Linked DNA regions of Saccharomyces cerevisiae S288C. The gene in region 1 interacts genetically with each later gene. Each region holds a gene or a part of one and is shown in the gene's direction. Other genes may lie near its edges. The genes, in order: OSH3, GPI13, SRP40 and MYO3.

What was found.
Region 2: of OSH3 (region 1) and GPI13, a mutation in one rescues a mutant of the other (synthetic rescue), as found in Saccharomyces cerevisiae (2 studies listed by BioGRID, with this or other methods).
Region 3: mutations in OSH3 (region 1) and SRP40 together harm fitness more than expected from each alone (negative genetic interaction), as found in Saccharomyces cerevisiae (2 studies listed by BioGRID).
Region 4: of OSH3 (region 1) and MYO3, changing one suppresses a phenotype caused by changing the other (phenotypic suppression), as found in Saccharomyces cerevisiae (one study listed by BioGRID).

The regions. Positions count from the first base shown.
Region 1 is NC_001140.6:238,902-247,467, forward strand, and holds OSH3 (oxysterol-binding protein related protein OSH3), read left to right. Parts: upstream 1-3,680; coding exon 3,681-6,671; downstream 6,672-8,566. Other genes in the region: lanosterol synthase ERG7, read left to right, coding at 197-2,392; snoRNP complex protein NOP10, read left to right, coding at 2,763-2,939; QNS1 (glutamine-dependent NAD(+) synthetase), read left to right, coding at 7,292-8,566. UniProt on the Saccharomyces cerevisiae protein: Lipid transport protein (LTP) involved in non-vesicular transfer of lipids between membranes.
Region 2 is NC_001144.5:74,714-83,299, reverse strand, and holds GPI13 (mannose-ethanolamine phosphotransferase GPI13), read left to right. Parts: upstream 1-3,094; coding exon 3,095-6,148; downstream 6,149-8,586. Other genes in the region: FRA1 (aminopeptidase P), read right to left, coding at 1-1,839; RRT7 (Rrt7p), read left to right, coding at 2,603-2,944; YLL032C (uncharacterized protein), read left to right, coding at 6,553-8,586. UniProt on the Saccharomyces cerevisiae protein: Involved in glycosylphosphatidylinositol-anchor biosynthesis. Transfers ethanolamine phosphate to the GPI third mannose which links the GPI-anchor to the C-terminus of the proteins by an amide bond. Involved in cell wall biosynthesis.
Region 3 is NC_001143.9:608,646-615,737, reverse strand, and holds SRP40 (Srp40p), read left to right. Parts: upstream 1-1,852; coding exon 1,853-3,073; downstream 3,074-7,092. Other genes in the region: PTR2 (Ptr2p), read right to left, coding at 1-8; DNA-binding protein SRL3, read right to left, coding at 3,473-4,213; PXL1 (Pxl1p), read right to left, coding at 4,672-6,792. UniProt on the Saccharomyces cerevisiae protein: Not known; weak suppressor of a mutant of the subunit AC40 of DNA dependent RNA polymerase I and III.
Region 4 is NC_001143.9:195,104-201,989, reverse strand, and holds MYO3 (myosin 3), read left to right. Parts: upstream 1-1,822; coding exon 1,823-5,641; downstream 5,642-6,886. Other genes in the region: PMU1 (putative phosphomutase), read left to right, coding at 219-1,106; SHE2 (She2p), read left to right, coding at 5,962-6,702. UniProt on the Saccharomyces cerevisiae protein: One of two redundant type-I myosins implicated in the organization of the actin cytoskeleton. Required for proper actin cytoskeleton polarization and for the internalization step in endocytosis.

The DNA.
Region 1 (8,566 bases):
CTTTTCGTTTATAATCGTTTAGGTGAAAAGTTTTTATATCGGTTATTTACAGATATACATTTTCTCAAAAAAAAAAAAATATAATACATGCCCTCAGCTTTTAATAAAGCCATTGAGCACAAGCCTCTCCAGTAATGTACTGCTGTGCCCAATAACCTTACCAATAATCGTCGCCCACAAAGAAAGTACAAAACAGATGACAGAATTTTATTCTGACACAATCGGTCTACCAAAGACAGATCCACGTCTTTGGAGACTGAGAACTGATGAGCTAGGCCGAGAAAGCTGGGAATATTTAACCCCTCAGCAAGCCGCAAACGACCCACCATCCACTTTCACGCAGTGGCTTCTTCAAGATCCCAAATTTCCTCAACCTCATCCAGAAAGAAATAAGCATTCACCAGATTTTTCAGCCTTCGATGCGTGTCATAATGGTGCATCTTTTTTCAAACTGCTTCAAGAGCCTGACTCAGGTATTTTTCCGTGTCAATATAAAGGACCCATGTTCATGACAATCGGTTACGTAGCCGTAAACTATATCGCCGGTATTGAAATTCCTGAGCATGAGAGAATAGAATTAATTAGATACATCGTCAATACAGCACATCCGGTTGATGGTGGCTGGGGTCTACATTCTGTTGACAAATCCACCGTGTTTGGTACAGTATTGAACTATGTAATCTTACGTTTATTGGGTCTACCCAAGGACCACCCGGTTTGCGCCAAGGCAAGAAGCACATTGTTAAGGTTAGGCGGTGCTATTGGATCCCCTCACTGGGGAAAAATTTGGCTAAGTGCACTAAACTTGTATAAATGGGAAGGTGTGAACCCTGCCCCTCCTGAAACTTGGTTACTTCCATATTCACTGCCCATGCATCCGGGGAGATGGTGGGTTCATACTAGAGGTGTTTACATTCCGGTCAGTTACCTGTCATTGGTCAAATTTTCTTGCCCAATGACTCCTCTTCTTGAAGAACTGAGGAATGAAATTTACACTAAACCGTTTGACAAGATTAACTTCTCCAAGAACAGGAATACCGTATGTGGAGTAGACCTATATTACCCCCATTCTACTACTTTGAATATTGCGAACAGCCTTGTAGTATTTTACGAAAAATACCTAAGAAACCGGTTCATTTACTCTCTATCCAAGAAGAAGGTTTATGATCTAATCAAAACGGAGTTACAGAATACTGATTCCTTGTGTATAGCACCTGTTAACCAGGCGTTTTGCGCACTTGTCACTCTTATTGAAGAAGGGGTAGACTCGGAAGCGTTCCAGCGTCTCCAATATAGGTTCAAGGATGCATTGTTCCATGGTCCACAGGGTATGACCATTATGGGAACAAATGGTGTGCAAACCTGGGATTGTGCGTTTGCCATTCAATACTTTTTCGTCGCAGGCCTCGCAGAAAGACCTGAATTCTATAACACAATTGTCTCTGCCTATAAATTCTTGTGTCATGCTCAATTTGACACCGAGTGCGTTCCAGGTAGTTATAGGGATAAGAGAAAGGGGGCTTGGGGCTTCTCAACAAAAACACAGGGCTATACAGTGGCAGATTGCACTGCAGAAGCAATTAAAGCCATCATCATGGTGAAAAACTCTCCCGTCTTTAGTGAAGTACACCATATGATTAGCAGTGAACGTTTATTTGAAGGCATTGATGTGTTATTGAACCTACAAAACATCGGATCTTTTGAATATGGTTCCTTTGCAACCTATGAAAAAATCAAGGCCCCACTAGCAATGGAAACCTTGAATCCTGCTGAAGTTTTTGGTAACATAATGGTAGAATACCCATACGTGGAATGTACTGATTCATCCGTTCTGGGGTTGACATATTTTCACAAGTACTTCGACTATAGGAAAGAGGAAATACGTACACGCATCAGAATCGCCATCGAATTCATAAAAAAATCTCAATTACCAGATGGAAGTTGGTATGGAAGCTGGGGTATTTGTTTTACATATGCCGGTATGTTTGCATTGGAGGCATTACACACCGTGGGGGAGACCTATGAGAATTCCTCAACGGTAAGAAAAGGTTGCGACTTCTTGGTCAGTAAACAGATGAAGGATGGCGGTTGGGGGGAATCAATGAAGTCCAGTGAATTACATAGTTATGTGGATAGTGAAAAATCGCTAGTCGTTCAAACCGCATGGGCGCTAATTGCACTTCTTTTCGCTGAATATCCTAATAAAGAAGTCATCGACCGCGGTATTGACCTTTTAAAAAATAGACAAGAAGAATCCGGGGAATGGAAATTTGAAAGTGTAGAAGGTGTTTTCAACCACTCTTGTGCAATTGAATACCCAAGTTATCGATTCTTATTCCCTATTAAGGCATTAGGTATGTACAGCAGGGCATATGAAACACATACGCTTTAAGTTTTATTTATAAGTGTTGTTAGAGGCTGCAACAATTAGAAACTAGTGCAAAACTAGTATATTTATTTGTATATGTAGTAGTAAAATAATAGGTGAAAAATTAACATGTGTTTGAAATTCCAGCTAACTATTGGTTATGGTGATTACACGCTAAGTGTAGAGTTCTTTCAAATATACCATTTATCCTTTAGCACGGCTTCACTATTTTTTTCGTCTTTTTTCAACTAAGCGGAAGGAGAAAAAAATTTCAAGTTATGCTCATCACTCTTTTATTACATTATGGTAGCTATAAAGTGGCTTATGTTAGTGAGTTGACGGAAAAGAGAAATACTTTCAATAGACCAATACATAACAAATCCTTTTGAACAAGATGCATTTGATGTACACTTTGGGCCCAGACGGCAAGAGAATCTATACATTGAAAAAGGTCACCGAAAGTGGTGAAATCACGAAGTCTGCTCACCCAGCTAGATTTTCTCCAGACGACAAATATTCAAGACAAAGAGTAACTTTGAAGAAGAGATTTGGTTTGGTACCAGGCCAATAGATTTGGGTAGTTTAAGGGAATATTGTATAGTACGTGATTCTGGCTAGTATGAAAATGCAGTGAATTTTCTTGTTTCATTTTCAATTTTCTAGACCTACATAAATTTGATAAGTTTTTAGGTGATAAATACTAATTATAATTGATCGATTATATGTTTTAATCTCGAAGGAGCAGTGGCCGTTTTCTTATCCAGAACCAGTTCTTTTAAGACTCGCCAGTTTCTTTTTAGCTGTAATAAGGAAAAATAGATTGATATTAGTTACAGTTGTGCTTCACGTTGTTAAAACGTACAAGAAAAGTCTTTAACTGTAGCAACCAAAAAAGGTACTTGATGTCGATATTAAGCCGCATCTCTAGATCTAAAGGCTCCACTCTACTGCTCCACTTTACTGCTCCAAAGAGTCGGCTTACAGATAGGCTACCGCTACATTAATAACTGTGCTGGAAAACCTTGTTTCCGGGAGCACAAAATTGTAATGACATATTTATTTTGGTTGTATCAAGCGTTTCCAACTGTTGATTCAACCAAAAAGCCTCATAGCTTTTAATACGGATATTGCTTAGGGTAGGGCGAAAAAAATAACCAAATCTTTGGAAAAAGCAGTTTGACACCATACAACCAGCAACGACATGGTTTTTTAGTGAACCTGTTGGGGGGAGAGTATAACTCGTGAAAGTTTCGACGTCCTATTTGCTGGAGAGTAGTAAAACGAGCTTGAATAGCAGCCTGCGAATCGAATTATGGAAACAATTGATATACAAAATCGATCATTTGTTGTTCGTTGGGTAAAATGTGGCCGTGGCGATGTAATCAATTATCAGATCAAGCCATTGAAGAAATCTATTGAAGTCGGCATATACAAAAAGTTGAAATCCAGTGTAGATGACCATGCTTCCGCAGTTCACATTGCACCTGACACTAAAACATTGCTAGACTATACTACGAAATCTCTATTACATAAGGGAAGTTCGAGTAATATTGAGGAGCATCACAGGCGTTCCTCACAGCACTCTCATAGTTCGAGCAATGGATCGGATAATAAGAGGAAAGAGAGATCATATTCTTCACTGTCCATTAGCGGCATACAGCAGCAATCCCAGGAAATACCCCTACGTGAAAAACTCTCTGCGTCAGGATTCACTTTGGTCAAGAGGGTCGGCAACGTTTCCGGTAACACTATGGTCCAAGGTGATCTTGAAGTGAAAGATACAGACTACTATTATGCATTTATACTGGACAACTCGTCTTCCAAGAATGCAAAAAAGAAAATTCTTTTTAACGCAAGTGTGATAAACGGCGATAATCAATCGATGATAAGCACAAGATCCACCCCTCCCGCAAGGCCTACAGCTTTAAGCAGAACATCTACTCAACAGGATATGTTATTTAGAGTAGGACAAGGTCGTTACTTGCAAGGCTACCTGCTGAAAAAAAGGAGAAAGAGACTACAAGGTTTTAAGAAAAGGTTTTTCACCTTGGACTTTCGATATGGAACCCTATCGTACTATTTAAACGACCATAATCAAACTTGTAGGGGTGAAATTGTCATAAGCTTGTCATCTGTTAGTGCCAATAAGAAGGACAAAATAATCATAATTGATTCTGGTATGGAAGTTTGGGTCTTGAAGGCTACAACTAAGGAAAATTGGCAGTCGTGGGTCGATGCGTTACAAACTTGTTTTGACGATCAGTTCGAAGATAAGGACACGTCCACTTTGGAAGAAAATCCCGACATTCTTGACGATGACAAGGAAGTAATTAATAAAAGCTCACCTCAAGACCACGACCACCTCACGCCCACGGCTACGACCAAAAGTGCACTATCACATAGACAGCATACTCAGAAAGACATGGATGACATATATGTCCCATTGCCCAGCGAATCTTACGCTACTTTCTCCATGAATCTACGTTTGATTCAACAACGACTGGAGCAGTGTAAAAAAGACTCGTTATCTTATAAACCAACTACTTTACATCAAAGATCGGAGGGGCTAAATGGAACACATTCGTCATCTTCCGTCTTTACCAATAATAGAGTGTCTTCATTCAATCATTCTTCTTCTGGTATGACGTCATCTGATTCTTTAGCCTCTGAAGAGGTTCCTTCCAACAAAACATATATTGAGCATGCTTTATATAACCAATTGGCAGATCTTGAAGTATTTGTTAGCCGGTTCGTTACACAGGGAGAGGTTTTATTCAAGGACCACCAGATCCTGTGCAAGAAAGCAAAAGACACGAGAGTTTCTTTAACTTCATATCTTAGCGAGAATGATGAATTTTTTGATGCAGAAGAGGAAATCAGTCGGGGAGTCATTATATTACCTGACACAGAAGATGATATTAATAATATAGTCGAGGAAACTCCCCTTCTTGGTAAAAGTGACCAAAATGAGTTCACAAAAGAGGTCCAATTGTCGGGATCCGAACAGATAGCTTCATCAAGTGTGGAGAGCTATACAACTAACGATGAAAATCATAGCCGTAAACACCTCAAAAATCGTCACAAAAATCGTCGCCGTGGCCACCCTCATCATCAAAAAACCAAAAGCGCCCAATCCTCAACAGAAACATTTACAAGTAAGGATTTGTTTGCTCTTTCCTATCCAAAGAGTGTTACACGCCGTAATGACATACCTGAAGCTGCAGCTTCTCCGCCAAGCCTATTATCTTTTTTGAGAAAGAATGTAGGCAAAGATCTGAGCTCTATTGCCATGCCAGTAACCTCAAATGAGCCTATTTCTATTTTGCAGTTGATATCAGAAACATTTGAGTATGCTCCACTTTTAACGAAGGCTACCCAACGTCCTGATCCTATAACCTTTGTTTCTGCATTTGCTATTTCCTTTCTTTCCATATATAGGGATAAAACAAGAACGCTAAGAAAGCCTTTTAATCCTTTACTGGCTGAAACATTTGAACTTATACGAGAAGATATGGGGTTTAGGCTTATATCGGAAAAGGTCTCACATCGTCCTCCAGTATTTGCCTTCTTTGCAGAGCATCTCGACTGGGAGTGTAGTTACACTGTAACGCCATCGCAAAAGTTTTGGGGTAAGTCTATTGAATTGAATAACGAAGGTATACTGAGATTGAAGTTTAAGACAACTGGAGAACTATTTGAATGGACGCAACCAACAACTATTTTAAAAAATTTGATAGCGGGTGAGAGATATATGGAGCCTGTCAACGAATTCGAAGTACATTCTTCGAAGGGAGACAAATCACACATCCTGTTCGATAAGGCAGGTATGTTTAGTGGAAGATCTGAAGGATTTAAGGTTTCGATAATCCCACCACCTTCGAGCAATCGCAAGAAGGAAACTCTAGCTGGTAAATGGACACAGAGTTTAGCTAATGAAACTACACATGAAACTATATGGGAAGTAGGTGATTTAGTTAGCAATCCGAAGAAGAAATATGGCTTTACTAAATTCACCGCAAATTTGAATGAGATAACTGAAATTGAAAAGGGCAATTTACCACCTACGGACTCAAGATTAAGACCAGATATTAGAGCTTACGAGGAGGGAAATGTTGATAAGGCGGAAGAGTGGAAGCTGAAATTGGAACAACTTCAACGTGAAAGACGTAATAAAGGGCAAGATGTGGAGCCTAAATATTTCGAAAAAGTATCTAAGAATGAATGGAAATACATAACTGGACCGAAGAGTTATTGGGAAAGAAGAAAGAAGCATGATTGGTCTGATATTTCTCAACTCTGGTGAATGCCTTGATGACATCAAGTGAACTTTTTTCCCCCCTTTGTACTCTATTTATTTTCCATCTTTAATGATCATCCACACAAATTACTTGTATATGCGTTCATGTATAGTATACTATATACAACATGAAGGACTTTATAAATTCTTGATCAATCTTTCACACTAATTTTATATTAACAGTTCTACACTATTTTTGTTTGCTTGACTGTAAAAACATTCTATTTTATGATTAGTTGCAAAACTTGAAAAAAACAATAGAATTTCATCACATAATTGAAAGATAATGAACTCTTTCAGTCAGTTAGATCCATGTTTTTTGAAGAAAAGTTTACGAACACAGGATCTTACAAAAGGTGCCTAAATTTGGAATTGAAAGTCTATTGCTATCAAAACTTGTCAAAGATAACATAGCTTGGAACATCTTATCCTTTATATGTCCTGCTAAGTCATATCAAGAGGCCCCAATAGTTTCGTCGAAAAAGATAAAGAGGAATATGGAAGGGAAATATAAGATTATCAACTGGTTACCTCAAAATAGACTATATGCTCACATCATCAATTGATATTGCTTGTAAAAATACCCCCAAATACCCTGGCATTCTTTTTTTGACTCCCTGCCAGTAATGTCACATCTTATCACTTTAGCTACATGCAACTTGAATCAATGGGCCCTAGATTTTGAAGGTAATAGAGACCGTATCCTACAGTCCATTAAGATTGCCAAAGAGAGGGGTGCCAGGTTACGTGTCGGCCCAGAACTGGAAATAACTGGCTACGGATGTTTAGATCATTTTTTAGAAAATGACGTTTGCCTTCATTCATGGGAAATGTATGCTCAAATCATTAAGAATAAAGAAACCCATGGATTAATACTTGACATTGGTATGCCCGTTCTACACAAGAATGTTCGTTATAATTGTCGTTTGTTATCCTTGGATGGTGAGATATTGTTCATAAGACCTAAGATTTGGTTAGCTAATGATGGTAACTATAGGGAAATGAGATTTTTCACACCTTGGATGAAACCTGGCGTGGTGGAGGACTTTATCCTTCCACCTGAGATTCAGAAAGTTACCGGCCAGAGACTTGTGCCATTTGGGGACGCTGTGATAAATTCATTGGATACATGCATTGGTACAGAAACTTGTGAAGAATTGTTTACACCTCAATCCCCCCACATCGCCATGTCTTTAGATGGTGTGGAAATCATGACAAACTCATCTGGTTCTCATCATGAACTGCGTAAGTTAAATAAAAGGTTAGACCTAATTTTAAATGCCACTAAACGTTGTGGTGGTGTTTACTTGTATGCAAATCAAAGAGGTTGTGATGGTGACAGATTATATTATGATGGCTGTGCACTAATTGCCATCAATGGTACAATTGTAGCCCAAGGTTCACAATTTTCGCTAGATGATGTGGAAGTAGTTACTGCTACTGTGGACCTAGAAGAGGTGAGGAGTTATCGTGCAGCTGTCATGTCTCGTGGCCTACAAGCCTCCTTGGCAGAAATAAAGTTCAAGCGTATTGATATTCCTGTAGAATTGGCTTTAATGACCTCCAGATTTGATCCTACAGTGTGTCCAACAAAAGTCCGCGAGCCTTTCTATCACTCTCCTGAGGAAGAAATTGCACTGGGACCTGCTTGCTGGATGTGGGATTATTTAAGACGTTGTAACGGAACAGGGTTTTTCCTTCCCTTATCTGGGGGCATTGACTCTTGTGCAACTGCAATGATTGTCCACTCTATGTGCCGTTTAGTGACCGACGCTGCTCAAAATGGAAATGAGCAAGTTATCAAAGACGTTCGTAAGATAACACGTAGCGGCGATGATTGGATTCCAGACAGTCCACAGGATCTAGCCTCAAAAATATTTCACTCCTGTTTCATGGGTACG
Region 2 (8,586 bases), on another chromosome or scaffold:
CCATAAAAACTGCCTAGCGATGGCGTCGATATTAAACCCGGGAGTGTTTTCGGGAAAAATCAACCTCTCTAGGGCTAAGCCACCTTTAAGTACCAGTGTGTAATTATCCATTTCTTCTTTGGTTGGCTTTGTTAAGTGAATTGTTCTTGTTATATCAGTTGTACCCTCCAAGAATTGCGAACCGGAGTCGCAAAGATATATCTTGGTAGGATCAATCATCGAAGAGTTCTCTACGGGCGGCGAATAATGTATGATGGCGGCGTTACTACCTGTGGAGGATATTGTTTCGAAGGAATTGCCCATGAAGTTCCTTTGGGTTTTCCTAATCTCGGTCAATTTTTCTGCGGCACGATATTCATCTATCAGTGCCTCGCGCCCCACTAATTGCTGCTCCAGCCATGCAAAATACTGCACTAAACATACTGCGTCTTTGACCTGCGCCTTGTGTGCGTTTTTTATTTCGATGTCATTCTTGATAGATTTCAAAACATCGATGGGTGAGTGAATTATCGCAAAGTTTTGTGCAGTCATTTTTTTAGCTATTGCACCGTTAGCGTTGGTTGAGGTGTTCAAACAACGAACCATCTGCCACGATGCACTATCAGGAATCAAAAATTCATGCTCCGCAGAAGAAGCCTGCGAAGTTATCTTTGTTAAATGTTCCCATATCTGTTCGTAAGGTCTGACTTCAATACCGTTTATCTTAAAATATTCCGATATGTCATCATTGAAGGGGTTATTGGTGAAAAGAATGGTTTCGTCTTCGTTAATAGCCACGTAGGAGAAAAAAACTGGATTATAGTCAATGTCGGATCCACGCAAGTTCAACAACCAACAAATTTCATCCAACGCAACTACTATGAAAGTATTCCTACCGGTCGTCGCAGAGGAAGCCTTATCATTCAGCTTTTTCAGTAACTTTTCCTTCTTGTCTTTGAATTCTTCACCATGAAACTCGTATTTTAACAGTAGTAAATCGTTACAAGGCCTTTCAGGTAGAGTTTCAAAATCAGGCCAAATACTGTCAACTAAGTTTTCCTCCACGGGAACCAGCTCCACTTTACCCTTTGCGTCATATTTAGTGTCAATCATTTTTCTAAAAGAAACATAGTCGTTGAAAGTGATAAGTTTTGGGTCAATACCTATCTTCAACACCATTCCCTCTTTATTGCCAAGTCCCTTGGCCATTTCCAAAGCTTCTCTGACACACCATTCTTGCCAAGTGATTGGGTCTTCGTTTTGCCTCAAAAGTGTCCAATTATAATCTAGTTCTTGTCTAGCTTGATTGAAATATCTTCCATCAGTACTCAAAATGGATTTCCCATCCGGATGGTCATCGTTGAAATTTAACAAGTCTCTGGTGATACAGGCTACACCGGCCGATCCGGAAAACCCTGAAATGAAGGCGCGCCTTTGATCTCGCAATGATACATATTCGGACTGATGTTCGTCACAACTGGGCACAATATAACAACACAAATCGTGTTTCTTCATCTCCTGACGCAACTTCAACAATCTATCAGTAGTGTTAACTTCCCTGTTAACAGCGCATAGAGAGTCACATGAGTAAACAGACCCATTTCCAGCACTGCTACCTCCGCCAGCGCCCTTCAACTCGTTGAGAAGCATGCTGGAGGACCTCCTTGAATTTTCTAACTGTCTTAAAAATAGAGAGGCTCTACGACCTTGCCTAGACAGTAAGCCTGGAGAACACGTACAATCCGCACATGGCCTAAACGGTCTGGGGCTGTGTGATGCCGATGTTCCTCTCATGTGCGTGCCAGGTACATGGGAAATCGAGTGAGCCCTGCCGTCACTGGTGGATGGTTTCGAAGTCATATGAAGATTTTGTTTGTAATTATTGGTTTCGCTCTGTTGAGGTCTCCGTTTTTTTTTTATTCTTTTTTTTTTTAGCTATGCAGTCTTTTTGCCAGTGCTTCCTGCCTTTCCTGTATTTGTAAATATTGCACCTATTAAGACTAAACTGACTCAGTTTTTGTATGTCGCTTCCTTCTTGTTCCATCCCTCATTCGAAGTATTTCTGAAAAAAGAAAACGTAGAAGAAAATTCGGGAAAATGGGGTGCGATTTTTAGGGGTCACCCGGGGATATACCTTCGGGTAACACCAGAAGTCGTCAAAAACAAAACAAAATTAAACTAAACTCTGGCGGCTAAAAGATAATCATAATGCACATAGGGAAAGCTTTCTACCATATTTGAACACTTTAACGGTTAGTTGAAATAATAAGAAATAATTATATGTTTATTTTTACGTGGGTTATAAAGACGGGTAAATTATCTTCGTTATTACTCATGAAAACCTACAAGTAAGCGGCTCAATGGCATTTCGTGGCAGATAATCTTCAGCTATCATTATTATTTTTGAGAGGATGGTTTTTAGGAGCAGTTTGAGGAATAAACAAGAGCTTAATGTACCGTTATACATTTTTAAAAAGCTGTCTTTTTTATTGGGTTCACAGCTCTCATTTTTTTCCATGCAAAATCATTTTTTTAGCCGCCGATGCTTCAAAATGGGTTTAAGATATTTATTGTTTAAATGTTTCTGCATCTGGATTCACTGAAAAAAATTTAGACGCCTAACATGTATTTTGCATTTAAAGGATTATGCGGGAGAAGATTTCTGCCCATTGCCTCTTTTCTTACTATATTGAATAGAATATTATTCCAATACTGGCTTTTTTACAATTCATTAAAAGAGGAAAAGACATTTCAGAAAATTTTCTTCTCTATGAACCTTAAATGTAGGAAAAAAAAGGAACCAAACCACATCATTTACTCTCAACCGCCTTTCTTGTTGGGGTTCATGGTACAATTGCAAAGTTGTGTCAAGTTGTTGCCACTCTATCTTTTGTTTTTGTTACAGGGTAATGGCGCACATTATGCAAGCGCGATGACGAGCAAGGTACTTTCTTTTTTCCTTTAACATTTTGTTGTCCACCGGAAAATAAAAAAAAACAAATAAATGGGTAAGATCAAAAAAGGAATAGAAGCATATGTTTTAAGGGCAACGCCGAATCGTCAAAGAACGGGAGGAAGATCAATACATTAAGTGGAAAAAAAAAGCTCCCGTAATATGGATGAAAAGACAATTAAAAAGTCGATTCTTTCATCTTCCAATGATGAAAAAATAATATACAAATCGCGAATAAAGAAATTTCAAAAGAATCATAAATTTTATATTATTCTATTGGTTTTCATCGCCATTTTACAATTCATATCAATAGCTTTTTTCACTCGGGGATTCTTACTGTCAAGACACGTTCTTGATAATATTTCCTCACAAAACGAAACGAGTAAGTTACCTCCTAGGTTCAACAAGGCGGTGATTTTGGTTATTGACGCTTTGAGATTTGATTTCGCTATTCCTGTAAACGAATCCCACTCTAATTACAACTTGAACTATCATAATAATATATTATCATTGTATGATTCTTTTGCAAGCGATAAGGATGCATCTTCCCTATTGTTGAAGTTCATTGCCGACCCACCAACCACTACTTTACAAAGACTCAAGGGTCTCACAACAGGGTCCTTACCGACTTTCATTGATGCCGGGTCTAACTTCGATGGAACAGTAATCGAAGAGGATAACTTTCTTAAACAGCTCCATTTGGCAAATAAGACTGTCAAATTTGCCGGAGATGATACATGGATGGCTCTGTTCCATCCGTTCCTTTCCAACGATAGTTTCCCACTAGAATCACTCAATGTGTGGGACTTAGATACTGTCGATAACGGTGTTATGGATTACTTCCATGATCATTTACAGCAGGACAAGGAATGGGACGTCATGATTGGACACATGCTAGGTATTGACCATGTGGGCCACAAATATGGCCCCGACCATTTTACTATGAGGGAAAAACAAATTCAAGTAGATCAATTTATCGATTGGATACTAAAATCGATCGATGATGATACCTTATTGGTTATTTTGGGTGACCATGGAATGGACCATACGGGCAATCACGGTGGCGACTCCATCGACGAGCTCGAAAGCACTTTATTTCTTTATTCTAAGAAGCCGGACATGTGGAGACTTAAAGAAACTTCGAATTACAACATTGATAATTTGGGACACGATTACCGTTCAGTGAGACAAATTGATTTGGTGTCTAGTTTGGCGTTATTGATGGGCCAACCGATACCATTTAACAATCTTGGATGGCCTATTGACGAAATAGCAAGAAACGATAGAGAATGGTCTCAATTTGTCAACTCAGCGATAAGCCAATTACAATTATATAAGGACACGATGCAGATCCACCATGGCAATGACGAAATATTGGAACCGTTAGCGAAAAATATATCTAACACCCCCCCAACAAGCGATCCAGAAAAATTTGTTAAGCTGGGTCATAAATACCAAAAGGTCTTCTTGCAGACCTGCGAAGAACTATGGGCCAAATTCGATTATTATTCCATTGCCACCGGTATAACGCTACTGGCCACTTCACTGGTCCTGTTGATATCCATTACAAAATTAATTCCTTCTATTGTTGTGAATCAAATGGTTCCAGAATTCGTTCCGGGAATTATCATAATGGTCTTAGTTACAAACCTATGTTTCCATGGAATTTTTTACGTTTATCAACAACCAAGTTTTGTAGACCAATTCTGGGGTACCCTGTTAGCGACTGCAATTGGTATCATTATTGGTTGTTATATCACAATATTTGATAGGTACAACTTTATTTGGATTGCTATGAGACTGGGTGAAACATTAGCTGATTATTGGTCAAGAATTGCTGTCATGTTTATGATTATTCATGCTTTGCTTTTCACTTCCAATTCATTTACTATTTGGGAGGATAGAATTGTAGCATTCCTTTTATCTACTTTCGGCATGTTGACGTTGTATGAATTTGTCTTCTTACCAAAAAGGCAATCCACCACTGCATTATTAACTGCAACAATCAGTGAAAAGGAAGGAACCACTTCAGGGGTCAATCCTTCGACAGCAAATTCAAATTACTTACCATTAACAAGATTTGCAAGATTACTAGGAGGTTACCATTCTGCAGTTTTAATCATTTTTACCCGGTTAGCTTCTATGATTACCATTTGTAGAGAGGAACAAGGCGAATATTGTATTCCAACATTTAATAATCAAAACAATTCCTCGTGGTGGGTTTTGGGTCTCTGTTTCCTAATGATATTCATATTACCTGCATGCATCACCGGTTATTATAATCTAACATCGTCTTATCAAGCTGCAGCTCCAATTTGGATAAACGTTTTCCTAAAGGGTATCCTTGGTTTGAACTTTGTTTATTGGTCATTGACTTCATTAGAAAATAACAGTGCGGTAATAGCAATACCGTTCTTACGGGACGTCACTATTTTTAAATTTACGTTGGCTAGAATTATTGCCGGTTTTTCATTGATTGCTTCTAATGTCGGCTGGCTAATGGGACCACTTTGTATTAAATTAAACATTCATAATACTGATGTTAAGTCTCACGAAGCAACAATTTTAGGTTATACTAATATTTACGGCTCAGAGTTTTTTCTTTTGGTCATAAACGTTCTCATTAGTATCCTACTATTCAACAAACCCCTGGCCCAGTTGTCATACTTCCTCATGTGCAACCAACTACTATCAATTTTAGAAATTATCGATCTTTTAAAATTAAAGGAAAACATAATTGGTCCAATTGCGTTGGGACTCTTATCTTACCAACATTTTTTCACCACCGGTCATCAAGCCACAATTCCATCAGTGCAATGGGATATCGGATTTATGCTGTCTGAAAAGGTAACGTTCCCCTTCACTCAGATAGCCATCATCCTAAATACATTTGGGCCTCATATTCTCGTCTCCTTATCTGTAGCGTTACTGACACTGTGGTCACAGCCTCCTGATGTGTTGAAGCCACAAACACTTTTAGGAAGAATTGTGTCAAACTGCGGTATATTACTCACTTACAATACTATTTTATGTCTAAGCTCCTTTATTTGGGTTACTCACTTCCGTAGACACTTGATGGTTTGGAAAATCTTCTGCCCAAGGTTTATCTTTGCTTCTTTAAGTTTAATAGTCACTCAACTGGTCGTTACTTTTGGTACAATTGCATTTGCTAGTGGGAGATTGATTAAGCACATAAATGACATTTTTTGGAAATGACGAACTTCATTTCCACTCTTTACTTACAAATATACTATATATATATATCTACATGTAATTTAGATACAAGTAAATCATATCTCTTGATATTGCAAAAATTTGAAAGCAAAAGCATCTCTTTTCTGCAGCTTTATTCTTTTAAGATTGTACATTTTTCTATCACTTTCTTGTAATCCTAAATTATATTTTTCTCCAAAATTTTTCTTTTCGCTTGTAGATTGTTTTTTTTCCACAAAGGCAAAAAACAAAAACAAAATAAAAGAAATAAAGGATGAAAAGTCATCTTTGTTTATATAGCTAACCTCTTGACTACCTGAACCTTTTGAAGCACTATTCAAGCCCGCAGAGGTTAAGTCTACACAATTGTTTAAAAAGAAAAACAGCAGTAAACACACGGTTGAGGCATGGATAACTTCAAAATTTACAGTACAGTTATCACAACTGCTTTTTTACAAGTTCCACACTTATACACGACAAATAGATTATGGAAGCCCATAGAAGCACCTTTTTTAGTTGAATTTCTTCAAAAAAGAATAAGCTCCAAAGAACTTAAAAACACAAAAGCAATCTGTCATATAGATCCCTCATGGGTCAATCTAAATGCTTCTTTCATTAGAGATGACATGATCTCAATAAAAGCTACCACAGATGATATGGACCTCGATGCTATTTGCAGGATTTCTTTGCCCTTACCTATGAACACAAATGATCTAACAGCAGAATTGGAAAAAATGAAACGTATACTATTGGACTTGAGTGAAAAATTCAATTTAGAACTAATCATCACCAAAGAACCAGCTTACTTCACACCAGAACAGACAGGCGAGAGCAAGGAATTATGTATTTACGTGCATGCATTAGGATTCCGATCTAATTTAATGGAATGCGAACCCCAGTTATTGGCATTTGTCGATTTAATAAAGAAGAATGGTATGACTTTGCCTCCACAACACTACATTATCGAACCTATGGAACTGAACTCATACTCTGTGCTTCCCTTATATATGGGTGTAGATATGGAAAACTTCAAACATATATCCAGAGCTTTTAAAACCAGCATTTACGCACCTTCCCTCATTACGCTGTCTAGGGATCTTAAGGCAAATCCACAAATCTTCTTCTCAGGCGCTGTCCATTCACTAAGTTTACTGGCTAGGAAAACTCTACGTGAGTCCATAAGCGTGAATTCAAAGAGTTTTTTTTATCGTCGATTGACTAATATTACCCCAGGAAAACTACTGTTTATCCGAAAATACTACCAACAAAAGGTAAACCAGTTAATTTTGAAATACCAATCGCTTATTAGAGTTACTAACGAATACATTGAATTTCAATCGATTTCCACGAACTTATTAGAAATGGTTATTAAGAACTTCACTATTCAAGTATTACATGAAATTGTAGAAGTACAGATTTCACTCAATGAAAACTGCGCAATGTCCCCGGAATTAATAATCGACAGCTTTTTCGGACACACTGGAAACCAAATTGTAGTAATAACTCCCAAAGAGGATTCCTTCAACCAATTAATAGTAGTTGGTAACCAATCTTCCACAGATGAGGCGTCCGATACTTCCATATTGCATTACTTATCTGATTTTATTATGGGCTCAAATCAAGTGATTAATCCAAACTTAAGACAGATAAAAGCCATTTTCGAGATACATCCTGATTTTGAAGACTTCATATCAGGCAAGAAAAATGGTAAATTAACACGTATAATGGAACTATCTGCTTGCTTAATTCAACTGGAAATGGAAGAGGAAGATGATAACCTTTATTTAAATTTGGTTAGTGACTCTTTCCCTGATTTCAAGGAATCATTTAAGAATGTTATAAATGAATTTCCTGCCGAAGAATCTTTCTTCATTCCTGAAGTTTGTCACAGACCGATTATAGGTACAGGTGGTTCCTTAATTCAAGCCACAATGAGAAAGCATAACGTCTTCATTCAGTTTTCCAATAGTTTCAATCTTCCACAAAATAAAATTTCTATGATCAGGTATGATAATGTGATAATTAGGTGCCCCAGGAAAAACAAAGCTAATATATGCCTAGCCAAGAATGATTTAAAACAAATTGTTCAAGAATATGATAGTTTACAATCGAAGACGCTCATTAGATTTTCTAGTGGGCAATATAGACATATTTTGCATGTTAACGGCCAAAAGAATATTATAGGACAAATCGAAAAGAACGAAAATGTTTACATAATGATACCGTTAAAAGAGCCCTTGGATGGAACATCTCAATTGAGTATACAAGGAAATGATGAGAATGCATCAAGAGCCGCTAACGAATTGGTTAATAGTGCGTTTGGTTATGAATACGAGTTCAAAATAGATCAAGAGATAGATCCCAATAAAGAATACGAATTTTATAACCTAATTGTTGTTCCATTTTTGCAAATTATGAACATAATTGTAACTTTTGAGAAG
Region 3 (7,092 bases), on another chromosome or scaffold:
TTGAGCATTATAAGAGTTTATTAGTGATCTAATTCAAAAGAAGAAAAAAAAAAATAATTGATAATATTTTATATTGTTTGCAGTGGAGCAGCACTGTGGTATACCTTCTTTTTCAAGTAAGCAAGTAAAAATAAAGTAGGAATAATGCGTAATAAGCCAACCCTAAAATAGACACAAACGGAAAGGATATAGAAGATATGTACATCACTTATATATTTTACAAACCTAAAAATTGTACAGAACAATAAAATGAAATGTAGAATGATATGAGTTGTGGTGATTGGAGAGAGTAAAAGAAAGGATGATAGATGCAAGAAGTAAGGCCAATCAAAGAGCAAGTCACTCTACACAGCTATCATATGAGGGGAGTGATCGCCGTACAGATAAGAAACCCAACTTTTTTCAAGACGCCACCGCTTGTGTAATCGCCATTATATCGAGGAAAGCCCTGCGAACGTGAAGTGAAAAGGACGGTTGTCCTTTTTCCTGTTCTTCGAGGATCCTGAACAGGATGTCAGTAGGGCGGGCCTTTTCTTTTTATTGTGCAGGTACGCATGTTTCTTTGACACAAAATAGTCTGGATTCGCCAGCCAGTGGCACTTTTGATGCCATTTCCACCACAGAAAACGTCTGAGTATTCAGCCATGGGAGGGGAGTGTTGAAAGGGGAGAAGCAGCCCACTTCTCTGTCTTGACACAAACCGCAGATTGCGTCACGGTTCTGCGGACGCCGTTAGCCCATTGGTGTCAAGTTATTGCGGGATTTTTTGGTGCCGTACGCCGGAGCCGACGGAGGTAAGTCAGTTCGCCGCTGCCTTCGGCGCCGTTATCTTATCTCGCCAGAAAACTCTTAGCTTTTCCGGGAAAAAAAATGAACAATACTGATTGCGTTACCCCAAGCTTATCCCACGTAGTTTTGTGTCTCTTTCTTGGGCTCTTGGCGGCCGTACGCATATAGTATACTAATGCGGTAACGGCTACCTCCTACGTCTGTATCAAAAAAGTTCGCTCTGGTCCTATCAATATTTTCTCCCACACGAGGATTCTGTGGTTTTGCAGCCACATCTACAGGATGTTGACTTTTTGTTTGTTTACGTAGTTTGTTTCAACGCTTTCGAAGATGTGGCGCTGGTGCAAGTCATCTAAGTTGGTTACTGATAACAAATTGTGACAAGGATGTAGTGGATGCGTAGGAGACCAAAATGACATCTGACACAAAAAAAAGTAGATAACGAAAACAGGACAAAGGTGTCATTTTGTTTTGCCAAGGAGAATTATAATCTTAGTGTGAAGATACTTTCATTAGACACATAAATTTACGTTCGACACACTTTTTTCTTACTCCTCCCCTTATCAAGGATACCTGGTTGATTCTACGTCGTCCTCTTCACTTTGGTTAATTCACCTTTGCCCTTCACCTTGTGGTGTGCGGGTGTTGCAGTCATTAATGTTCTTTATCGCGAGAGGGGGTCTACATAATCTTGTTTTTTCACTCCAATAAGGCAGTTATAGTGAATTTGTTTTATTACAGAAGGTGTACCCTTCGTTCGAGTTATTTTACTCTTGTTTTGTAGTTTGTACATCTCTTTATGTCTGGATCAAAACGATAATTCGAAGCTTATTGCAATTTAGTTCTCTTACCCATTTCTTTACAACGGGCCGAGAAAAAGTGGAGTTGGTCCGAGGAAGCTTTGAACGGGAAGAGGAAAAAACCTTCCCATCGCTCGAGCATACAATTTTTTTTTTTTCAATGCAGGCTGAAAAAAAAAAATTCACTTGATGATTGAACTCATCGCACTTTTATACAAAGCAAGAAAGAAACCCAAGTCGCAGTACACTAAGAATACATAGCAATGGCTTCCAAGAAAATTAAAGTTGACGAAGTGCCAAAATTAAGTGTTAAGGAGAAGGAGATTGAAGAGAAATCTTCTTCTTCTTCTTCCTCCTCCTCCTCCTCCTCCTCCTCCTCTTCTTCTTCATCTTCCTCGTCCAGTTCTAGCGGCGAATCTTCAAGCAGCAGCAGCAGCAGCAGCAGCAGCAGCAGCAGTGACAGCAGTGACAGCAGTGACTCTGAATCTAGCTCATCATCATCTTCTTCTTCTAGCTCAAGCTCAAGTTCCAGTGACTCTGAATCTTCTAGTGAATCCGACTCTAGCTCCAGTGGATCTTCTTCTTCCTCTAGCTCTAGTTCTGACGAATCTTCTTCGGAATCCGAATCAGAAGATGAAACCAAGAAAAGAGCAAGAGAATCAGACAACGAAGATGCTAAGGAGACTAAAAAGGCTAAAACTGAACCAGAAAGCTCTTCCTCATCGGAGTCAAGCTCTAGCGGGTCATCGTCATCTTCAGAATCAGAATCAGGTTCGGAATCTGATTCTGACTCAAGTTCTAGCTCAAGTAGTTCTTCTGATTCCGAATCAGATTCTGAATCAGATTCTCAATCAAGTTCTAGCTCCAGCTCTAGCGACTCTTCGTCTGACTCCGACTCCAGCTCCAGCGACTCTTCATCTGACTCCGACTCTAGCTCCAGCTCTAGCAGCTCTTCCTCGGATTCAGATTCGGATTCCGACTCAAGCTCGGACTCAGACTCTTCAGGCTCGTCCGATTCTTCAAGCTCGTCTGATTCAAGTTCCGACGAATCTACATCTTCTGATTCCTCCGATTCGGATTCCGACTCAGACTCTGGTTCTAGCTCTGAATTGGAAACAAAAGAAGCAACTGCAGACGAATCCAAGGCCGAAGAAACGCCTGCCTCATCTAACGAATCAACTCCATCTGCTTCCAGTTCATCAAGCGCCAATAAATTGAACATTCCTGCTGGAACCGACGAGATCAAAGAGGGCCAAAGAAAGCATTTTTCCAGAGTAGATAGATCGAAGATTAATTTCGAAGCTTGGGAGTTGACAGACAACACCTACAAAGGCGCGGCTGGAACATGGGGTGAAAAGGCAAATGAAAAATTAGGTAGAGTAAGAGGTAAAGATTTCACGAAGAACAAAAATAAAATGAAGAGAGGTTCTTACAGAGGTGGATCCATTACATTAGAAAGTGGTTCATACAAATTCCAAGATTAAAAGAATAGGAAACATAAAACAAAACTCGTTGTCTGGAGTAATCTCCTTTTAAGTTGTAGAGTAAACAAATTGTAATTATAGCAACGATAGAAAAATAATAGTAATAAAGACAATAATAATAGTAACAAAAATGGTAACAGTAATATTTTGTATTGTTTTCCTTTGAAAAAAGAAAAAATAAATAACCTGGTATATAGGTAATCGCGTCACTAAATAATTAAGCATTCAATAAAAGTTTTTTTTAATTATTTTTTTTTTTATGTTTTTGGCTCCTAGAGGTGAATATTTTCTTTTTCTTTCTTCGCAGCTATATACTAAATATTAGTGATATAAACAGCAAGAACTATAAACCTAAAAGTAGCCAAAGCCATGTATATATGCGAAACCCGAATCATTAGTTCAGTCCGATGAGGACATCTTCAATAATGTATCGATAGCAACAACTTCTTGTAAAGAATTCTCCTGTGTACTTTGCGTTCTTCTATGAGATGACCAACGTAACGGCGAAACGTTAACGTTGTCTACCCTATTGCTTTTGGCATGTTTGGACGAAATTGCCTTCAAGAACGCTGCATGAGCGGATGAATCTTCCAGAGAACTCAGAAACTTTTTGGATTCATCTAACGAGTGACAGCGCCTATGCTTAGCGGCAAATTTATTACTATAAGAGCCCTTTCGTATCTTTTCCGTCGGAGGTGGAGGAATCAAAGCTACTTGCTCATGTTCCTTTGATAGCTTAACCATTGCGCAGTTGAGTCTTGATTTTAGCGTGCGTGAAAACTCCCGTACGGAATCGTCATTCTCTTCCTCGATAACCGCTGTGGGAGAAACCAATGGGGGCGTGGGGGATGGAAACATTTCTGCATTCTTAGACCTGGGTGTTGTAGGTGTTATTGGTCCTGGAAAATGAAATTGTACGTTGTATTGATATGTGGGATCCTCATTGCCATCGGGCGAAGGGGCAGATGTAGGAGAATCTTGCGCTTCACTTATTGAAGTTTTGAAATATTTCCTTGCCGGCGTCGCCAGAAGGCTGTTAGATTCAGTATCCAGGTTGGGAGAGATCAATTCGTTTATCGTTAAGACTCTCGATTTGGGAGTCTCATTTACCGTTTCCCAATTAGGTGTCTTAAGAAACATTATATTCGTCTATTATTTATCCGTTTGTGCTCAGGTTCTTCTTCCATCCTCTTGAAAATACAATAAAATAACGAAACATTTCATTGCTTAGCCTTTCCTTAAATAAATTTCCTTATTCTCTATTCTTAGGCTCCTGTTCCCTTTTTAGCTTTTAGCCTTTAATGCACCGGTACGAGAATGTCCAAAAATAGAAATTCGCTACAATTAAATGACGCGTAAAAAAACAGTTAGAGGTAGTTGTTGAGAAGAAGACAACGTAGTGAATATGAGTGAATGATGTCTTTATAACTAACTAACTAATGACGACTAATGTTGTTGATACCATAGATAGGCAGATGCCTTTTTCCTGCGCTATACAATTTATAAATGAACAAGGCTGGCTAATAATATAAAAAATCAAAATCTTATTAAGAATGTTATGAAACATGTGTGCTAGGAAAGACAAATGGGTAGTGATGCTAGTTGAAGTTGATGAGCCTCGTTCTCCTTTTAGAGAGAGTATTGTTCTTATCATTGCTTGATGTAGCATTGTCGATACCTTCCTTCAAGAGAGCTTCCATGTCGTGATTACCGCACAATGGAATTTCCCCATTGAATATATAATAATCATTAGTAATGGCAGTCTTGCATAAGAAACAGTTTAGACAATCCACGTGGAATCGTTCCACCTTATCATTTTCCAGACATTCACCCTCTATGAAATTTGAACAAACCTTACAAATACTGTGATTCTCCTCGTGATAGTGCTTTTGACAATATGGTTCATCGCCTAGAATATAACAGGGAACATGTTTATTGAATTTGATACCACATTCAATGCATTTAAAACATTCACGATGCCATTGACCCGACAGTTCGTTTTCCTTTTTGGAAAACATTCTTTTCCCTGTGACTTCCAAGCCGCATGCTCTGCAAGGTCCCTCCCCAGGCGGATATTTAAACTCAATGGGCTCCGTTTCTTTATAATCTGCATCAGAGCTGTATCTCGTAGTGCCGCCGTTAGGTAATACATGAGAGTCATTAGATTTGGAATTATCAATTTCTTCTCTCAGATCTGTTATGTTGCGCTTATGCTGCAGTTGTAGTGCTTCAATTGTGGGAAGTTTCGTTCTGAAAGTTTCTTGCGAACCCATCCCTTCATTATTGGAGTATTCTACGTTCGACTGTTTAAACTTGTAAAAAATGGGTGTGCCACCATTAGTTGTAGATTCAGATGGCGCGTCTTCATCGACATCGCCTTTATCTACCAGAATAGTTTGTCTGGATAAGTTCGTATTGCTGTTTTGCACAATTGATGTTTGCTGCGTTACGGGTATATCCATGCTGGGATACCCAGATAAATATGCGCTTGACTTTTTGAATCTAGAAGCCTTTCTGTCCACTGCGTTGAGGCAATTGCCGTTCATATCGAGCTTTGCATTTCTAGATAGGGAAACATCGTCTAATTGAGCAATCAATTGTTCGACTTGGAGGTTCGTAGCAGTGTATGGTGTTTCCACGTTTTCTGAAGAAGTTATTGAAAGACGTTTCTCATTTAACCCATCAAGACTTAAATCTTCAACTTTTGTTGACGATGATGACACACCAGGTGATTTCTGTTCCTTTGAAGATTCCAGGCCAGAAAAGTTATCATCAGGATATATTTTAGAGTCTAGTGCGTTCATGGTTAAAGATGGTGTATTACTTTCCCTCGTAACATTAATTTCCGGAATTTTAGGTTCTGTATTCTTTTCCTCTTGTTTTGCTTCTGGAAAATCATCTTGAAGTGGTTCATTTTCAAGATTCATCTGTAGTTTAGGATCTGGTTCAAAATTTAGGCTTTCAATATCATTCTCATCCTCCTGCTGTCCTTCACTTTCATATTCGATTGAACTTTCCTCTTTTTGCTGTTCTTTTCCGAGTTTTTGGTCGAGCACACCTCTGTTATCGGTTTGGTTCATAGAATTTACAACGCTTGCAGTGTCATTTTGAGTCAGCATCATGAAACTTCTTTCAATAGGGCTCAAATCTTGTTCCCTTTCAGTATTACCAGCATCTTCTTGTTCGAAGTTGAAGGGGAAGTTATCTGCGGCTTGGAATTCCTTGTTAGCAGGTGATTTACATGTATGCCTAGAGGCAGCATATTGTTCCGCCTGACGGTCTAAGTCGCGTTCAAAACGGAAGGGATCCTCTTGCGAAGCACGCTCGCTGGGCCTGGAAATAGAACGAGATATGTCACTGGGTCTCGAAGACGTAAAATTGCTATTCTTTGGAGGAGTTACACTCCGCCTCTCGCTATTCTCCAATACGGGAGGCGGATAAATGTCAGACTCGCCCTTTACAGATGAATAAGCACTCTTTGAAGACGCCGTATACGCACTCTTCATCGTGACCGGAACAGATGGGGCGGCAGATACATTTCTTTGACGGGTTATTGGCGGCGACTTCACGGAAGCTTGTAAACTTCCAGTGGAAGCATTCCTCTGACTACTGAACGGATTACGCGGCTTAGTGTCAAACCCTGCTCTTTCTAGAGCAGTTTTGTAGCGGACCTTCGGATTTATTTTAGGGAAGGGGGACCCGTAGATTGAGTTATACATTGACTTGAGCGTTTCTTTTGCTAAATTTATTCTTGTTTTTCCCCTTACGTTATTCACTATAAGCTTTGAAGAAGCTTGAAAAAAATTCGGCTATAATATCCTATTCTAGCTGTATAAATTAAATATTCAACACAGCAGAAATATATTTTAAGGCTACCTCTTAAATTTGCAACACTCCAGCTTTTCTATTATTATTATTTACTTATTTTTTCATGTTTCCTATTATTCATGGAATTGAAAAAGGACGCGAATTGAAAATTTCGAAAGAAATAGGGCTAGGCGCTTCAAAAAGTCATTAGG
Region 4 (6,886 bases), on another chromosome or scaffold:
GTGCAACGTTTGAATAAATATTTGTAATCCTAATTTCTTGCAGATTCGGATATGACCCAGCAGGCATGTGCGAGTCAAGTTAATTTTTCGGGTGCTAGCTAGTACTGGAAAAAGTAAAAAGTGTCATTTGCAAAAAAAAACCCTCGAGAGATTTGTATGTTATTTAACGATTTCTTTCCAAGACTCTGCTGCGTGAAATCACCAACAGTTATTCAACAATGTCACTCAGAGCAGTCCCAGGATATTTTGCTGCATATCCAAGTGAGGGTTTTCAAGGATTAGACTCCACGAAATATGATCACTTAGAATTGATTAACCATAAGAATTGGAAGGAACTGTATCATGCTATCCCTAGAAATACCAAAAATCGCCACTATAAGCTGTTGATTTTAGCTAGGCATGGTCAAGGTTACCACAATGCTGCCATACTGAGGTACGGTATGGAGAAATGGGACGCCTATTGGTCGTTGCTTTCGGGCGATGAACATGGAGAGTGGCTTGACTCTAAACTGACACCTCTGGGTAAAGATCAAGTTAGAAGAACAGGATCGAATGTCTTGCTACCAATGGCAAAGCAATTAGGTATGCTACCTCATGTGTTTTTCAGTTCTCCAATGAGAAGATGTCTCGAAACATTCATTGAGTCGTGGACACCAGTGTTAGCGGAGACGCAAGAATTACCGGCCGGAACTAAAATTTCTACACGCATTATAGAAGGTCTAAGGGAGACGTTGGGCTCTCACACTTGTGACAAAAGAGTGGCTCACTCAATGGCAGTTGACGAATACCAGGATTTCAGCACGGAATCGGGCCACACTGTACATTGGCAATATGTACCAGATTACCCAGAAGATGATGAATTGTGGCTTCCTGATCATAGAGAAACGTGTGCTGAAATGGACAAACGTACACTGAATGGATTATTTGAACTATTTAATCAATTGTCAAGCGAAGAAAAATTCATCTCGCTTACTTGTCACTCAGGTGTCATTCAAAGTGTCTTGAGAAACTTACAGCATCCTCCAATTTATAACCTGGACACAGGTAAAGTCGTCGCTGTCGTCGTGGAAGTACCAGTCAACACGGCCGATCGCGGCAGGCTCTGAATTTTCCCACAGCGCCCATTCGGGACTTTCAAATATGTGGGTAATTTAAATAATTTTTTATAGATATAATAGAGTGGATGGAATAAAACCCTTTCTTTTCAAATAATGTGTTAAGCACTTTGAGAAATGGTTGAACCTTTCACTTTGATCATCGCTTTCTCAAGCTAGGTGAGAACATACATTTGAGTATAAAATAAAAAATGCATATGTGAAATTATATGAATGCAAAGGGTTCTTAGTTCCTTTTTTATTCTTGTATAGTTTTCACCGCTATGTCCACTCCCTCTTTTATACTATACTAATCGATGCCACAGAAAATATAGGCTTGGAAGTAATAAGCCCCCTTCATATACTTTCGTACAAGAAAATGTAACCGGTACATTAAAACAAACTTCAGTAGCCTCCCCTAATCACTCGGCAGGCAGACCTACGATCTTGAACAACTATTATATAGTAGCAAGATGCTAGCTCCATCGCTTTTCTAACTAAAGGTAAACTGATCGATTTGCATTTATATAATAAACCTCGGGAAGAGCTTTACCGAAAAAGGAAACCGTTTGCTGTGACAAGTAAATATAGAGTAATCTATTATAAAGGGTTAAAGCAATCTCGATTCAATTGACCGCGAGCAAATTAACAACAATCCAGTTATAAAACATTAATTTGCTGATCACATTTGAATCAAAAAAAGTAAAGAGAAATACTTATAACCGTCAATGGCTGTCATAAAAAAGGGAGCACGCAGAAAGGACGTTAAGGAGCCCAAGAAGAGATCTGCAAAAATCAAAAAGGCTACATTTGATGCAAATAAAAAGAAAGAAGTAGGTATTTCTGATTTGACACTTTTGTCAAAAATATCTGATGAATCTATCAATGAAAATTTGAAAAAAAGATTTAAGAATGGAATTATTTATACCTATATTGGCCATGTGTTAATTAGTGTAAATCCGTTCCGCGATTTGGGAATATATACAAATGCCGTTTTAGAGTCATATAAAGGAAAAAATAGACTTGAAGTTCCACCACACGTGTTTGCTATTGCGGAATCTATGTACTACAATCTCAAATCATACAATGAAAATCAGTGTGTTATTATTTCTGGTGAGTCTGGTGCCGGTAAGACAGAAGCAGCCAAACGTATTATGCAATATATTGCAGCTGCATCTAATAGCCATTCAGAATCGATTGGGAAGATCAAAGATATGGTTCTTGCTACTAATCCACTTCTCGAGTCATTCGGTTGTGCTAAAACTCTGCGGAACAACAATTCTTCAAGGCACGGGAAGTATCTAGAAATTAAATTCAACTCACAATTTGAACCTTGCGCAGGTAATATCACAAATTATTTGCTAGAGAAACAAAGAGTTGTTGGTCAAATTAAGAACGAAAGAAACTTTCATATTTTTTACCAATTCACTAAGGGAGCATCTGATACATATAAACAGATGTTCGGTGTGCAAATGCCTGAGCAATATATTTACACTGCTGCGGCTGGCTGTACTACTGCAGATACAATTGATGACGTAAAAGATTACGAAGGCACGTTAGAGGCTATGAGAACCATTGGTTTAGTCCAGGAAGAACAAGACCAAATTTTTAGGATGCTGGCGGCAATTCTGTGGATTGGTAACATTTCCTTTATAGAAAATGAAGAGGGCAATGCTCAGGTAGGAGATACCTCAGTGACTGATTTTGTCGCTTATTTGTTGCAGGTTGATGCTTCGTTACTGGTAAAATGTTTAGTGGAAAGAATCATGCAAACCAGTCATGGAATGAAGAGAGGCTCAGTTTATCATGTACCTTTGAACCCAGTCCAAGCAACTGCGGTGAGAGACGCCCTTGCTAAGGCAATTTATAATAATTTATTCGACTGGATTGTCGATAGGGTTAACGTATCTTTGCAGGCATTTCCTGGTGCTGATAAATCAATTGGGATTCTAGACATTTACGGCTTCGAAATTTTTGAACACAACTCTTTTGAGCAAATATGTATCAATTATGTTAATGAAAAGTTACAACAGATTTTTATCCAATTGACTTTGAAGGCTGAGCAAGAAACTTATGAAAGAGAAAAAATCAAATGGACCCCCATCAAATACTTTGACAATAAAGTTGTCTGTGATTTAATCGAGGCGAAAAATCCACCGGGCATTCTTGCTGCAATGAATGACTCTATTGCAACTGCTCATGCAGACTCCAATGCCGCTGACCAGGCGTTTGCTCAACGACTTAACTTATTTAATTCAAATCCATACTTCGAATTAAGGGCCAACAAATTTGTTATTAAACATTACGCTGGAGATGTCACCTATGACATCAATGGTATCACCGATAAAAATAAAGACCAACTTCAAAAGGACCTAATTGAATTAATTGGAACAACGACAAATACATTCCTTTCCACAATTTTTCCTGATGATGTTGACAAAGATTCAAAGAGACGGCCTCCAACAGCAGGTGACAAAATTATTAAAAGTGCAAATGAACTGGTGGAAACTTTGTCAAAAGCTGAGCCTTCCTATATCAGAACAATCAAGCCTAATCAAACTAAATCACCAAATGATTATGATGATCACCAAGTGCTACATCAAGTAAAATATTTGGGTTTGCAAGAAAATGTTCGTATCAGGAGAGCCGGTTTCGCTTACAGACAAACTTTCGAAAAATTCGTCGAAAGATTTTATTTACTATCTCCAGATTGTTCATATGCTGGTGATTACACTTGGGATGGGGACACCCTTGAGGCAGTCAAGCTTATTTTAAGAGATGCCATGATACCAGAAAAAGAATTTCAACTTGGAGTGACAAGCGTATTCATTAAAACTCCAGAATCTCTATTTGCTCTAGAAGACATGCGTGATAAATACTGGTACAACATGGCTGCTAGAATCCAGAGAGCATGGAGAAGGTTTCTTCAAAGGCGTATTGATGCTGCGATAAAAATTCAGCGTACTATCAGAGAGAAAAAGGGTGGAAACAAGTACGTCAAGCTTCGTGATTATGGAACCAAACTTTTAGCGGGTAAAAAAGAGAGAAGATCCATGTCTTTACTTGGATACAGGGCTTTTATGGGTGATTACTTATCCTGCAATGAGTCTAAAACGAAAGGATCGTACATCAGAAGACAGGTAGGAATTAAGGATAAAGTTGTTTTTTCGATAAAGGGGGAATGCCTGCACTCTAAATTTGGCAGATCAGCTCAAAGATTGAAAAAAGTGTTTATCTTAACAAAAAAGACATTTTATATTATTGGACAAACACGGGAACAGAATGCTATGAAATATACACAAGATTATAAAATTGATGTCGGTAAAATTAAACAAGTGAGCTTAACAAACCTCCAAGACGATTGGATGGGCGTTATCCTTGTTAATAGTACACAATCCGATCCACTCATTAACACGCCTTTCAAGACGGAATTAATGACACGTTTGAAAAAATTAAATGAAAAGATAATGATAAAAGTTGGTCCCACGATTGAGTATCACAAACAACCAAACAAGTTGCACACTGTCCGCTCAAAGATAAGCGATTCAGCACCGAAATACGGTGACATCTACAAGTCAAGTACAATATACGTGCGTCGTGGACACCCTGCTAACTCCAAATCGAATAAAAAACCTAAGAATCCAGGTGGGTTGAGCGGGAAACCTATCAAAAGCAAAAAGAGTAAACACAAATCTACTCATAAGCATACACATAGCCATAGAAGTCATAGGGATGCTGCAAAAAAGCAACCTCTCCCTTCGCAAAAACCTGTGAATCCGTTATCTTTGGCAGCTACCGCTGCACAGGCAGCATACAATCCTAAACCGGATAAGACCGTACCAATAAAGTCATCTGCAATCCCTGCTGCAAAAGTAAGCTCGAAACACAGCTCAAAACCCTCATCGAAGGAAAAAGTCGCAGTAAAGAAAGCCTCCTCAAGCCACAAATCCTCATCCGCCAAGCAAAACCAGGTATCGATGCCACCTTCAAAAGGGGTTGAAAAAAATAAAGAACCGTTAAAGGAGACAACTGCAACTGCAACTGCAAACATACCAATACCACCACCCCCTCCCCCCATGGGCCAACCAAAGGATCCGAAATTCGAAGCTGCATACGACTTTCCAGGTTCCGGATCATCTTCGGAGTTGCCATTAAAAAAGGGCGATATTGTATTTATAAGCAGAGATGAACCTAGTGGTTGGTCTTTAGCAAAGCTTCTCGATGGAAGCAAAGAAGGTTGGGTTCCTACTGCTTATATGACTCCTTATAAAGACACAAGAAATACGGTGCCTGTTGCAGCGACAGGGGCAGTGAATGACGTTACAAATCAGAAATCAAGCCAAATCGACAATACCATTTCAAGTGCACAAGAAGGTGTACAGTTTGGAAGTGCAACAGTTGGACCCACTAGTGATAATCAGAGTAATCCGGTGGGGACGTTTAGCGACGGTTTAGCTTCTGCATTGGCAGCAAGAGCAAACAAAATGCGGGCGGAAAGTGCTGACGATGATGATAATGACGATGGCGATGATGATGATGACTGGTAATTAACATGAATATATAGATGTTTAGTCTCTTATAGAATGGTTCTTCGTGCATGCCTCTTAACATACCAAAAGTGCATTACATATACTTTTAAACATACTCTCGCAGAAAGTTAAAGTCCCTTTTTTTTTTTTTTTTTCATTTTTTGTTTGTATTTTCCCGTTTTGAAAAACTCCCACTTTAATGCAGGACATCGTTCAAAACAAGCTTTAAAGATTTGACAGTAAAATCCTCACTTTACTCAAGACATTTTTCTCAAAAAAAGAGAAAGCACAGTAAACCCTCCTTAATTTTCCTTTTGCATAATACCAGACACTTAAAAATGAGCAAAGACAAAGATATCAAAGTCACTCCTGGAACTTGTGAATTAGTTGAACAAATACTCGCCTTACTCTCCCGGTATCTCTCATCTTATATTCACGTGCTGAACAAGTTCATCAGTCATTTGCGAAGGGTAGCTACGCTACGATTCGAGAGAACTACTTTGATTAAATTTGTTAAGAAATTGAGATTTTACAACGATTGTGTGTTAAGCTATAATGCATCAGAGTTTATCAATGAAGGTAAAAACGAATTAGACCCAGAGGCGGATTCGTTTGACAAGGTAATTTTACCAATAGCTTCAATGTTTGTTAAATGTGTTGAAACGTTTGACTTACTGAACTATTATCTAACGCAGTCATTACAAAAGGAAATTTTATCTAAAACTTTGAACGAGGACCTAACGCTAACAGCAGAGTCCATATTAGCCATTGACGATACCTACAATCATTTCGTGAAATTTTCTCAATGGATGATTGAGTCTTTGCGTATAGGCAGCAACCTGCTAGATTTAGAAGTTGTTCAATTTGCCATTAAATGCGCAGATGAGGACGGAACGAATATCGGAGAAACTGATAATATCTTCTTGCAGGAGATTCTTCCTGTCAACTCCGAAGAAGAATTTCAGACCTTGTCAGCTGCGTGGCACTCCATTTTAGATGGTAAGCTGAGCGCCTTGGACGAAGAATTTGATGTTGTCGCTACTAAATGGCATGACAAATTTGGTAAATTGAAAAACTGAGGCCTTCAGTTTTTAGCTCAAAAAGAGCAAATAAGTACCACTAGTTAATAGAACATATATATATACATGAATAGCCTCATCACATAGCACAGAAAGTAAGCTTTCAAAACACTGATGATCGGCTCTTATTCTGGCGTACTCATTTTCAGCATCTCAAACCGCGCTGTTTTTTTCTCACTTTTTG